Linked DNA regions of Tribolium castaneum. The protein of the gene in region 1 purifies or fractionates together with the protein of each later gene. This does not show direct contact. Links are inferred from orthologs where the notes say so. Each region holds a gene or a part of one and is shown on either strand. Other genes may lie near its edges. The genes, in order: serine/threonine/tyrosine-interacting protein and ago.

The links.
Region 2: the proteins of serine/threonine/tyrosine-interacting protein (region 1) and ago purify together in Homo sapiens (affinity purification with western blotting; 4 studies listed by BioGRID and IntAct, with this or other methods). This does not show direct contact. The link is inferred for Tribolium castaneum from reciprocal best matches to the Homo sapiens genes STYX and FBXW7.

Annotation. Positions count from the first base shown.
Region 1 is NC_087402.1:6,747,642-6,751,313, reverse strand, and holds serine/threonine/tyrosine-interacting protein, read left to right. Parts: upstream 1-1,212; 5' UTR 1,213-1,353; coding exon 1,354-1,398; intron 1,399-1,612; coding exon 1,613-2,022; intron 2,023-2,075; coding exon 2,076-2,373; 3' UTR 2,374-2,900; downstream 2,901-3,672. Other genes in the region: Unc-76 (fasciculation and elongation protein zeta-2), read left to right, coding at 1-218, 270-345, 396-461, 513-529. UniProt on the Homo sapiens protein: Catalytically inactive phosphatase. Acts as a nuclear anchor for MAPK1/MAPK3 (ERK1/ERK2). Modulates cell-fate decisions and cell migration by spatiotemporal regulation of MAPK1/MAPK3 (ERK1/ERK2).
Region 2 is NC_087394.1:36,179,803-36,184,352, reverse strand, and holds the start of ago (archipelago), read left to right. Parts: upstream 1-1,454; 5' UTR 1,455-1,715; intron 1,716-1,849; 5' UTR 1,850-1,859; coding exon 1,860-2,219; intron 2,220-2,265; coding exon 2,266-2,376; intron 2,377-4,204; coding exon 4,205-4,331; intron 4,332-4,550. Other genes in the region: uncharacterized protein LOC655874, read right to left, coding at 1-162, 361-485, 531-742, 790-944, 989-1,112. UniProt on the Homo sapiens protein: Substrate recognition component of a SCF (SKP1-CUL1-F-box protein) E3 ubiquitin-protein ligase complex which mediates the ubiquitination and subsequent proteasomal degradation of target proteins.

The DNA.
Region 1 (3,672 bases):
ATGAATTATTTCTGGAACTAGAGGTTTTAATTAGGGAATTTTCCGAAACGCTTATCTCGGAGTTGGCCCTCAGAGACGAGTTGGAGTACGAGAAGGAGCTGAAGAACACTTTTATTTCCCTACTTCTTGCCGTTCAAAATAAACGTAGACAATACCATGTTGAGAAGAAGCGGAGTTTAAAAAATGCGTCCAAGACTCCCAGCGGACTGGACCCGAAAGTACGAACTGGGATTTGACCAAATTAGTGTTATTGTTGCTTTCTTTTGCAGTATTTAACCACTGTCATTCCGTACCATTTAGATAGCGGACCACCGGATAATCAAACGTTACAAGTCCTGATTAAAAGTGACTAATTCGATTAAGCAATTTCGTTTCGATTAATTTGTTTGTTGTAGTTTTGAAAGCCATAAATGAAGACAGCCCCACAGTTCCCACTTTATTAACGGACTATATCCTAAAAGGTGAGGGCAATAAACGAGTGTTCCTATTTTAAGCCGTTTTTATTGTTCCAGTTATATGTCCGACGTAAAGTAGTCAAGGAAGCACAGATGAGAACCCAAAATCTAGCTTAAATATATTTAGTCTAGGCTTGACATAGCACAGATTTCAGTTGCAATATTAATTTATTTCCTGGTTGTTAATATTGTTCCTCTGTATATTTTTTTAAGTGATGTGTATATATTTTGCTTGAACATTCTAGTCTAATTATGTAATTGTAAAGTAACAATTAAATGTGAACTATTAATAAGTATTATGCACATCTTTGCTACAGTTCGTGCAATATGCACTCGTTTTAATTTTACTGATATTTTTGTACAAAGTGATATTAGCTACGAGTTTTATTCTTGCCCGACTTGCGTTTTCGCTGATGAAAGTAATATAAGGTTAAATTAGGTGAATTTAACATTTAATGTCTTAAATGTTACCTGTTTCAGAGCCAGCCGTTGATAATATTACTGTAGATCTCAATCAAATAAACCTTTGCAATTCAAAATCACGTTTCTTGCATATTTTTGTAGGTCGTAAAGGTAACGAGTGCTTTATGGCAGAGTCTTGCAAATTGATACAATCTGGCTGTATTTTTTTATTTCGATTTCAATGTTTTGGTCTGAATAAACCTTTATTGTAGAAAACTGTTTTTTATTTCTGGCGCCAAGTCTATAGATTAAAGGCGCGCATGCGCGCCCCACCGAAAACAACCGACTTTGTCCGAAGTGAGCAGAAGATGCTACTCCATTACTGCACATAGAAATTAATTAATTTCTAAATTAATATTTAACGAAGGATTAATATGCCATAATTGTGATAAAGTATTAACCAAGTGTTGTCTAAATATCGTGTGGAATTCACACCATGTTGGACGTTAACTCCAGTTCAGTGAAATTTCAACAAGATGAGGTTAGTTCATTTTTTCGCTAAATTCCGTCTTTCCCTCCCAAATATCCAACTCTTGTTACCGTAAATTGTTAAAATTCGGGCAAAACAACACATTTAATGCATGGGTAGTTGTAATTTCGGTTCTTTTCCATTTGGCGCCCAGAGATAAAACCTAACCCCCACTTGTCATTTGCCACTTATTGAGCTAAAAATATGAAGTACTTGTGTTTGGTAGCCGATGCACGAGATGCCCACGCTGCAATGTAGCGAATGGACGTACACCATGAGGAGAAATATGCAAGAAATCGTCCCGGGGCTGTTCCTGGGTCCGTACTCCTCTGCTCAAAAGCACTGCCTAAAGACACTCCGAGACCACGGCATTTCGCACATAATTTGCGTCCGACAGGACATAGAAGCCCAGTACATCAAGCCCCAAATCAATGATCTCTCTATAACGTATTTAACTCTAAACATAGCGGACACAGCCACCGAAAACATCATCCGGTTCTTTCCCACTGTGAGGCAATTCATTGACGAGGCGTTTCAGCGGAACGGCAAGGTGTTGGTGCACGGCAACAACGGCATTTCCCGCAGCGCCACTTTAGTCCTAGCGTACATTATGGAAAAGTATGGATTGAGTAGCAAGTATGGATACTGGTCGAGTTGATTCTGATTTATTTGCGTTGTTGTGTTTAAAGGGAGGCTATTGAGTGTGTGAAACAACGACGAGGGTGCATTCATCCGAACGAGGGTTTTTTAGCACAATTGATTGAGTATGAGCCGATTTATAAAGCGCGACAAACTCTGGAAAAGGGCGAGACTTCGAACGATAACAAACGCCAGAAACGTAAGTCCGAGCAGCTTTGCGAAAGTATAGACTATGATCTCATCCAACCGCCTCCAAGTCCGATTTCCGATAACAATAACCACGTCATTAACTGCCAACCGGACTTTTCCAACCACTTGTATAAACTGTGGATGATGAAGAAAAGTTAAAACTGTTGAATCTCTTGCTTCTGTTAGAATTTTTGTTATGTTGTTTTTACTTAAGTTCCGTAAGTTTAATATGTTGAAGTTTTTATTTTTGTTGTTCGTTTATCCTTTGGAAATTTTTCTTCAGAGTGCCATTGCGTTTATTTGATAAATTCCGTCTTGATTACTTACAAAGGGAGATTTCAAGTTTCAAGTGAAATTTCTCCACCAATACTCAGAACTAGTCAAACGTTGCGTTGTTTAATTTTGTATTGAATGACTCAATTGGTTAATTTAATGAATTAGCGTTGGAGGAATTGTGTGGAGCACAATTAAACTAGTTTTATAACCTGCATAATCCAATGAGTGTCTGTAGAGATTCCTCATGAAACTGATATTTATACTGTATTAGTATTTTTCCAGCTATGTACATAAAAATAGTGCCTATTTCTATGAAACTGTAAATTGATAAATTAGTCTAAAGAGCCTATTTTTATACTTTTGTAACATTTGTTTCGTTCCTGAAATAAATAATATGTTAAGTGTTACAATTTTTTATTTAATAACCAGACAAAGTCATCATTACTGCATTACTTAATTTTTGCTGGTATTAATACACAAATTATGTCACTACCGTTGTCATCCACCAACTCCCACTTGACATGGACTGGAATCTAATTAAACAATTAACAATCTATACAATTTTTAAACATACATTTGGATAAGTTGGGTACACGAACAGAGTGGTCTGATAAGTGTATGTTTCATCGGCTGCGATAGGACAAGTTAGTCCAGAATTTAGGCAAGCGTTGGGGTACGGAAAGGGGAACTCAGTTTCGACAACACCTGCTAAGACGCCGTACACTTTTGCACTTACTGTGTTTGATTCAGCATCTGAAAAAAATTCGTAAATATTCTAAGTTATATTTTGGTTACCAACTTGTGAAAGTAATTTCAATTGATGCATTTTTTCCTTTCTGCAATGTGCATATTTGGTCTTCTTCACAGTCTGAAACCCGAACTGATAAAAGTGAGTCTGGTTTTGAACCTAAAAAATTCTAGTTTCGTTAATGATGTGTTTAGTTGATCTACAAACCGCAGTCTTCGTATTCGAAGGTACAAAAAACCAACGAAAGTAAAATGAACGAAAGTTTGAAATACATTTTCGACAGTAAAAAATTGAAGGCCTGGTTGTTGTTATATGGAACTTGCAAAGTAAAAGCAGTAAAATTTAAACGAAGCATAAAAATAAATATTCATAGTGAAAACAAACGCACAAAAATGAGCAATAAAATGTGAACTCAAATAAAGTATTTTGTTTAC
Region 2 (4,550 bases), on another chromosome or scaffold:
TGTAGATGTAGCAGTTGCAACTAGCAACTGAAATAAAGTCTTTCGGTTCGCGTTTATCCAGAAGGTAAATGTCGCCGCCTTCTGTGCCCACAACAACGTAATTCGTGTTGTGTTGGTTGCATGCAACGCTGGTTAGAGAGCAAAACTCGTTGTTGTACAAAACTGAAAAATAAATATTTTTCGATAAAAATTTAGCTCAAAAACATCAGTATTAAAAGCTACATCCATTACAAAAAAAAACAATTTCCTATTGTAGCTAACTTTGGACACTTGTATACTTGAAAATAATGTTTACATCTTCACTTTGCTCCCGTGAAATATACATGATTTTTTCGCCTCACTGGACGAAAAAATAATTACCTGAGGCAGGGCACGGATTACGGTCGTCCCAAATACAGCACTTCCGGTCCATTGAAGCTGTGACAAAGACGTTTGGTTCCGACTTAAGTGTATCAACATAGTTTACAAGTTCCGTGTGATAATCGCTGGAAATAAAACTTAGATAAGGGAAAATTGTTGATAAAACTTACGGAAAGTGATTTAGTGGTTTACGGATAGTGCTATTAATGTCCCAAATGGTCACCGCTTTATTCGAGCAGGTGAGTATCCGTGTGCTGTTCTTCCAAACTGCGATTTTCGGAATGCGATCTATTTCCCTATAATAACCTGCCGATTGTATGGTTTGGTTTTCACGTGATATTGTGAGAATATTTAAAAGACCCGTATCTTCAGCTAACGCAAACTATTTTCATATTATTTGTTGTGTGTACACATTTAGCTGAAACTTACAGTACTGTCGTTTAAAAATTTCCCGTCTGAAACCGTGGACCCAATCAAGCTTCTGTTGTGTTTCAGAAGCAACAAATTCTCCTCATTTGAGAAAAATAGCAAAGTGCCTTCCCAAAGAGTCCCGTTTAAGTTCGAACACCCCAGAACTGACTCGTCTAAAAGACAATTAATCGCCAAAATTGAAAAAAACCCACCTTACCTTTTTCATTAAATTCTAGGAAAAGTAAGTGTTTGTAAACGACCGGTGTTGTCGAAAGTTCGACTTTCCGTTGCAGCGATTTATTCGGTGGATAAACCACCGTATTTAATTCGTTTTCAATCATTTTAACACAAATTCAAAAAAGAGTTCGAGGTTAAGTTTTGGTGCAAAAAAGCCACTAAAATCACATGTGCGCCGTTAAATTCCCCCAGCTTGTCACCTTGCTACTCCTGTAACTAAAGTCACGAAATCGTAGCGTAAATTCTCGAAATACAATGCAATGGTGTTGGGGAAAAACACAAAACGGATTTTCCTGCAATTGGTGAGTGTTTTCCAAAAGTTTGGGGTCCTGGATGTTTTTTTGGGCGAATGGTTTGTGGAGTCAGGGTGTTTGTGAAACGGGGCGGCGCCTTAGCCACGCGATTTTGCTGATATTTCTTATTCTTCATTTACACAAGTTCGTCCAGATATTTGTAATGGTGCCAATAAATCCTAGTATTTTGAGAATGGCCGTCAGTGTAGTTTTTTGAAAAGGTATTTTACCCAGCGAGATGCACAAGAAAACTCGCTTTAGTGTCTCGGAGTGATAGGAAGTAGCAAACAGTGGTCCTTGATGCATAGTTTTTGGAAGCATTTCGTTAATTTTCCTTCTTCTCTTGCAATTATCTGGTAGTTAGAGTAGTTTCGTTTCATGCCTTCGAATAATGATAGAAAATTACATCAGTAGGTATGTCAGATGCAATTATTCTAACCATTTTTCCCCCATTGCACTCATCTTGTAATTAAGTAGGATAACGTGTTTCACTCGCGGAGATAATTTTATCGCAAAACTTTACTTAAGACGTTTTTTGTTTTTTCTAGACTGTAGATAATGGCAGAATCATGTCCTTCAGGCAGAAGTAATTTCAACCCCTTATCTAGTATTAATCGAGATTCAGAACTTCCAAAACAAGACTGCACCAGCCCTAGCCCTACTGAAACCGTTTGTCTAGAGTCGTTGTGTACCACTGATAATGCACCAGGTACATCCCAGAATCACTTAGCTCCATTGAGTGAAAAACTAGATGAGATATTTAGAATTAGTCAATCGGGCGAGGAGACTGAAAAAACTAGCTTTCTCAATAAGCTAGGTCTGGAAGAATGTGATGAAGAAGACAGTTTTGAGAAGGAAGAAAACTGGGAGGATTGTACTGAAGGAGACCTCTCTGAAGAAAATCAAGAGCTAGAAGAGGTAACTCCATACAGTGTGTTAACTTTTTACTAAATTATTTTTACAGGACGAAGATAGCAGTGAAGTTTTTTCAGGTTCACCTCCAGGTCCTCATCAAACAACACCAAGGAGTTCGTACGCGAAGAGAAGTGGGTCGTACGCCACTGACAGATACTGGGTAAGCAGAAATTATGTTTGTTGTTTCAAGCGAATGTGCAATAATATTATTTTAAAAATAAACCCATTGACTGTTTCCATCACTGGATAATGCATTTTCTGCAAATGGTTAGCACAAGGCAAACAAAAAATTACAGGCAGAGATAATTTATATTAATTTTGCTTTTTTCTTATTCACTGATAACTAAAATATATGTCACATTTGTCTAACACGTGTAGTTTTCTTAATATATTCACTAAAAGTTTTAAAAATTTGTTTCTGGTGGCATTCATTGTTTCTGTGATCAACTATTGTTAAACCTTGTAATTATTTTAAAATATCTTCAAGTGAATGTAGATTAAGTCCAAACAACTTTTGTTTTGTTTGTGGTAAAATTGTCTATAAAATCTGGGAGACTTAAACGATCAAATGGTAAATATTTTCATCAAATCTTATGAAGAGAGTTATTAAGGTTTTTGGGATAAAAATATGTTATTCGTTTTCTACTAGTCCACATTGAGATAAACACCCTGATAGTACAAGAGAAGAAGCAATCTGTAACATTTTAGATGTTGCGAAAATTGTCAAATACTGATACTTTATAATGAGTATTTAAACTTAATTTGTTTTCGACTTCAGCATCAGATTTAGTGGTAATTATTCTACTGACATTGGTAAAAATCGTGGTAAACTAGTGTAATTATCTGCAATTTTTTGTAAACAAATCAGTGACACATTTTATTACGCCACTGCTCAGGTGGTACTTAATCTTTGCAATACCTGTTGTATTAAATAATTTCTCAATACTAGTTTTTGTTTAATTTTTTTTAACAAAATGTGACTAATAATAAATAATATTACTCTCATAAGTAAAGTTGTGACCATTTTTGGTTGTTGTTTTGACAATTTAAAAAGAAAATAATTAAAAAATACGAGTTGGTCTTGACTATTTGGTCGAAAATGTAATTTAAAGGAATTTGGTTTTAATGAACGCTTACCTTATCTATGTATAATACGAGTTTAAAAACAATCGTCACAGTTTTAATTATGTATTTAATCTTTATATAACTTTTAGATAAAATAACAAAACGAATAATTAAGGGGCATTGGGGAAAAATCGATAAGTAATACGCGAATAAGTCACGTTTACGTAGTAGTGCATTAAAGTTATTGCTCGTTTTTTAAACATTCCCATGGTCAATGAAGGTCTTTAACCTGTTTGGGACTTTGCTGTTTTTAACTATTTAGTTTACTTGTTGTTTTTGTATTGGTAAACACGAGTTGGGCGATAACGTAAATTAAAGATAGACATAAAAGGTAATAATTTTGATCCTTTTTGAAATTATCGTTGTATAATACAAACTAACAATTTTCATAGTTATTTATTATGCCTGTAGATTTTTTTTTAAATTGTTGAAAAAATGTTTGTTACCTTTGACAACCTCTAATTCTGTGTTTAGTAAACAATGTTACTCAAATATCTATGATAATAAAGCAATTTCCACATAATCACATGCATTAGAATACAGTGTAGTAATAATTAACTGCATGTCATAAAAAACTTATCAGGTTAATTTTGCTTTTTAACGCTAGTTTTTCCGGTTTAAGATGTTACATTATTTTCACCTTAATGGTGTTTATGTATTAATCGCAAATGTAAAGAGCTTAACAAAAATAAAACAGTCGTACTTCTTTTTTTTTAATGATGAAACTTGTAAGTGTTGAGTCGATAACATAATACGTTGATCGACATATGATTTTAGCCTAATCTTCTCTCTGATATTTTTTGAAACGAATATTTTGTGCTGTTTTGTTAGCAGTTGTAATGTGTTTTGTTCGGTTTTTTTAGAGAAAACGGAAGTTGGACGTGCAGAATGGGTTTCCGTGCAAGAAGTTGCTACCAGAAAAGAAATCTGACGTTACTTCGATGTCATCTGAGCCCTCTGCTCGTGCGCCGACGGCGCCCGAAACCAACGGTGAGAAAATACAAGCGATAATTAACTTTTTTCGACTTCGAAATGAAATATCTCCAAACTTAATACAAATTTTTCCATTTTTTTAAATGAAAACTAAATACTATGTTATTGAAAATTTTACATTTTAAAATATTTATTGCTTTATATTACCAAAGACAAATTATTTAGACTGTTTTGAAAAGAAACTTTTCAACTTCTAATATAGTTAGAGCCTTAAGG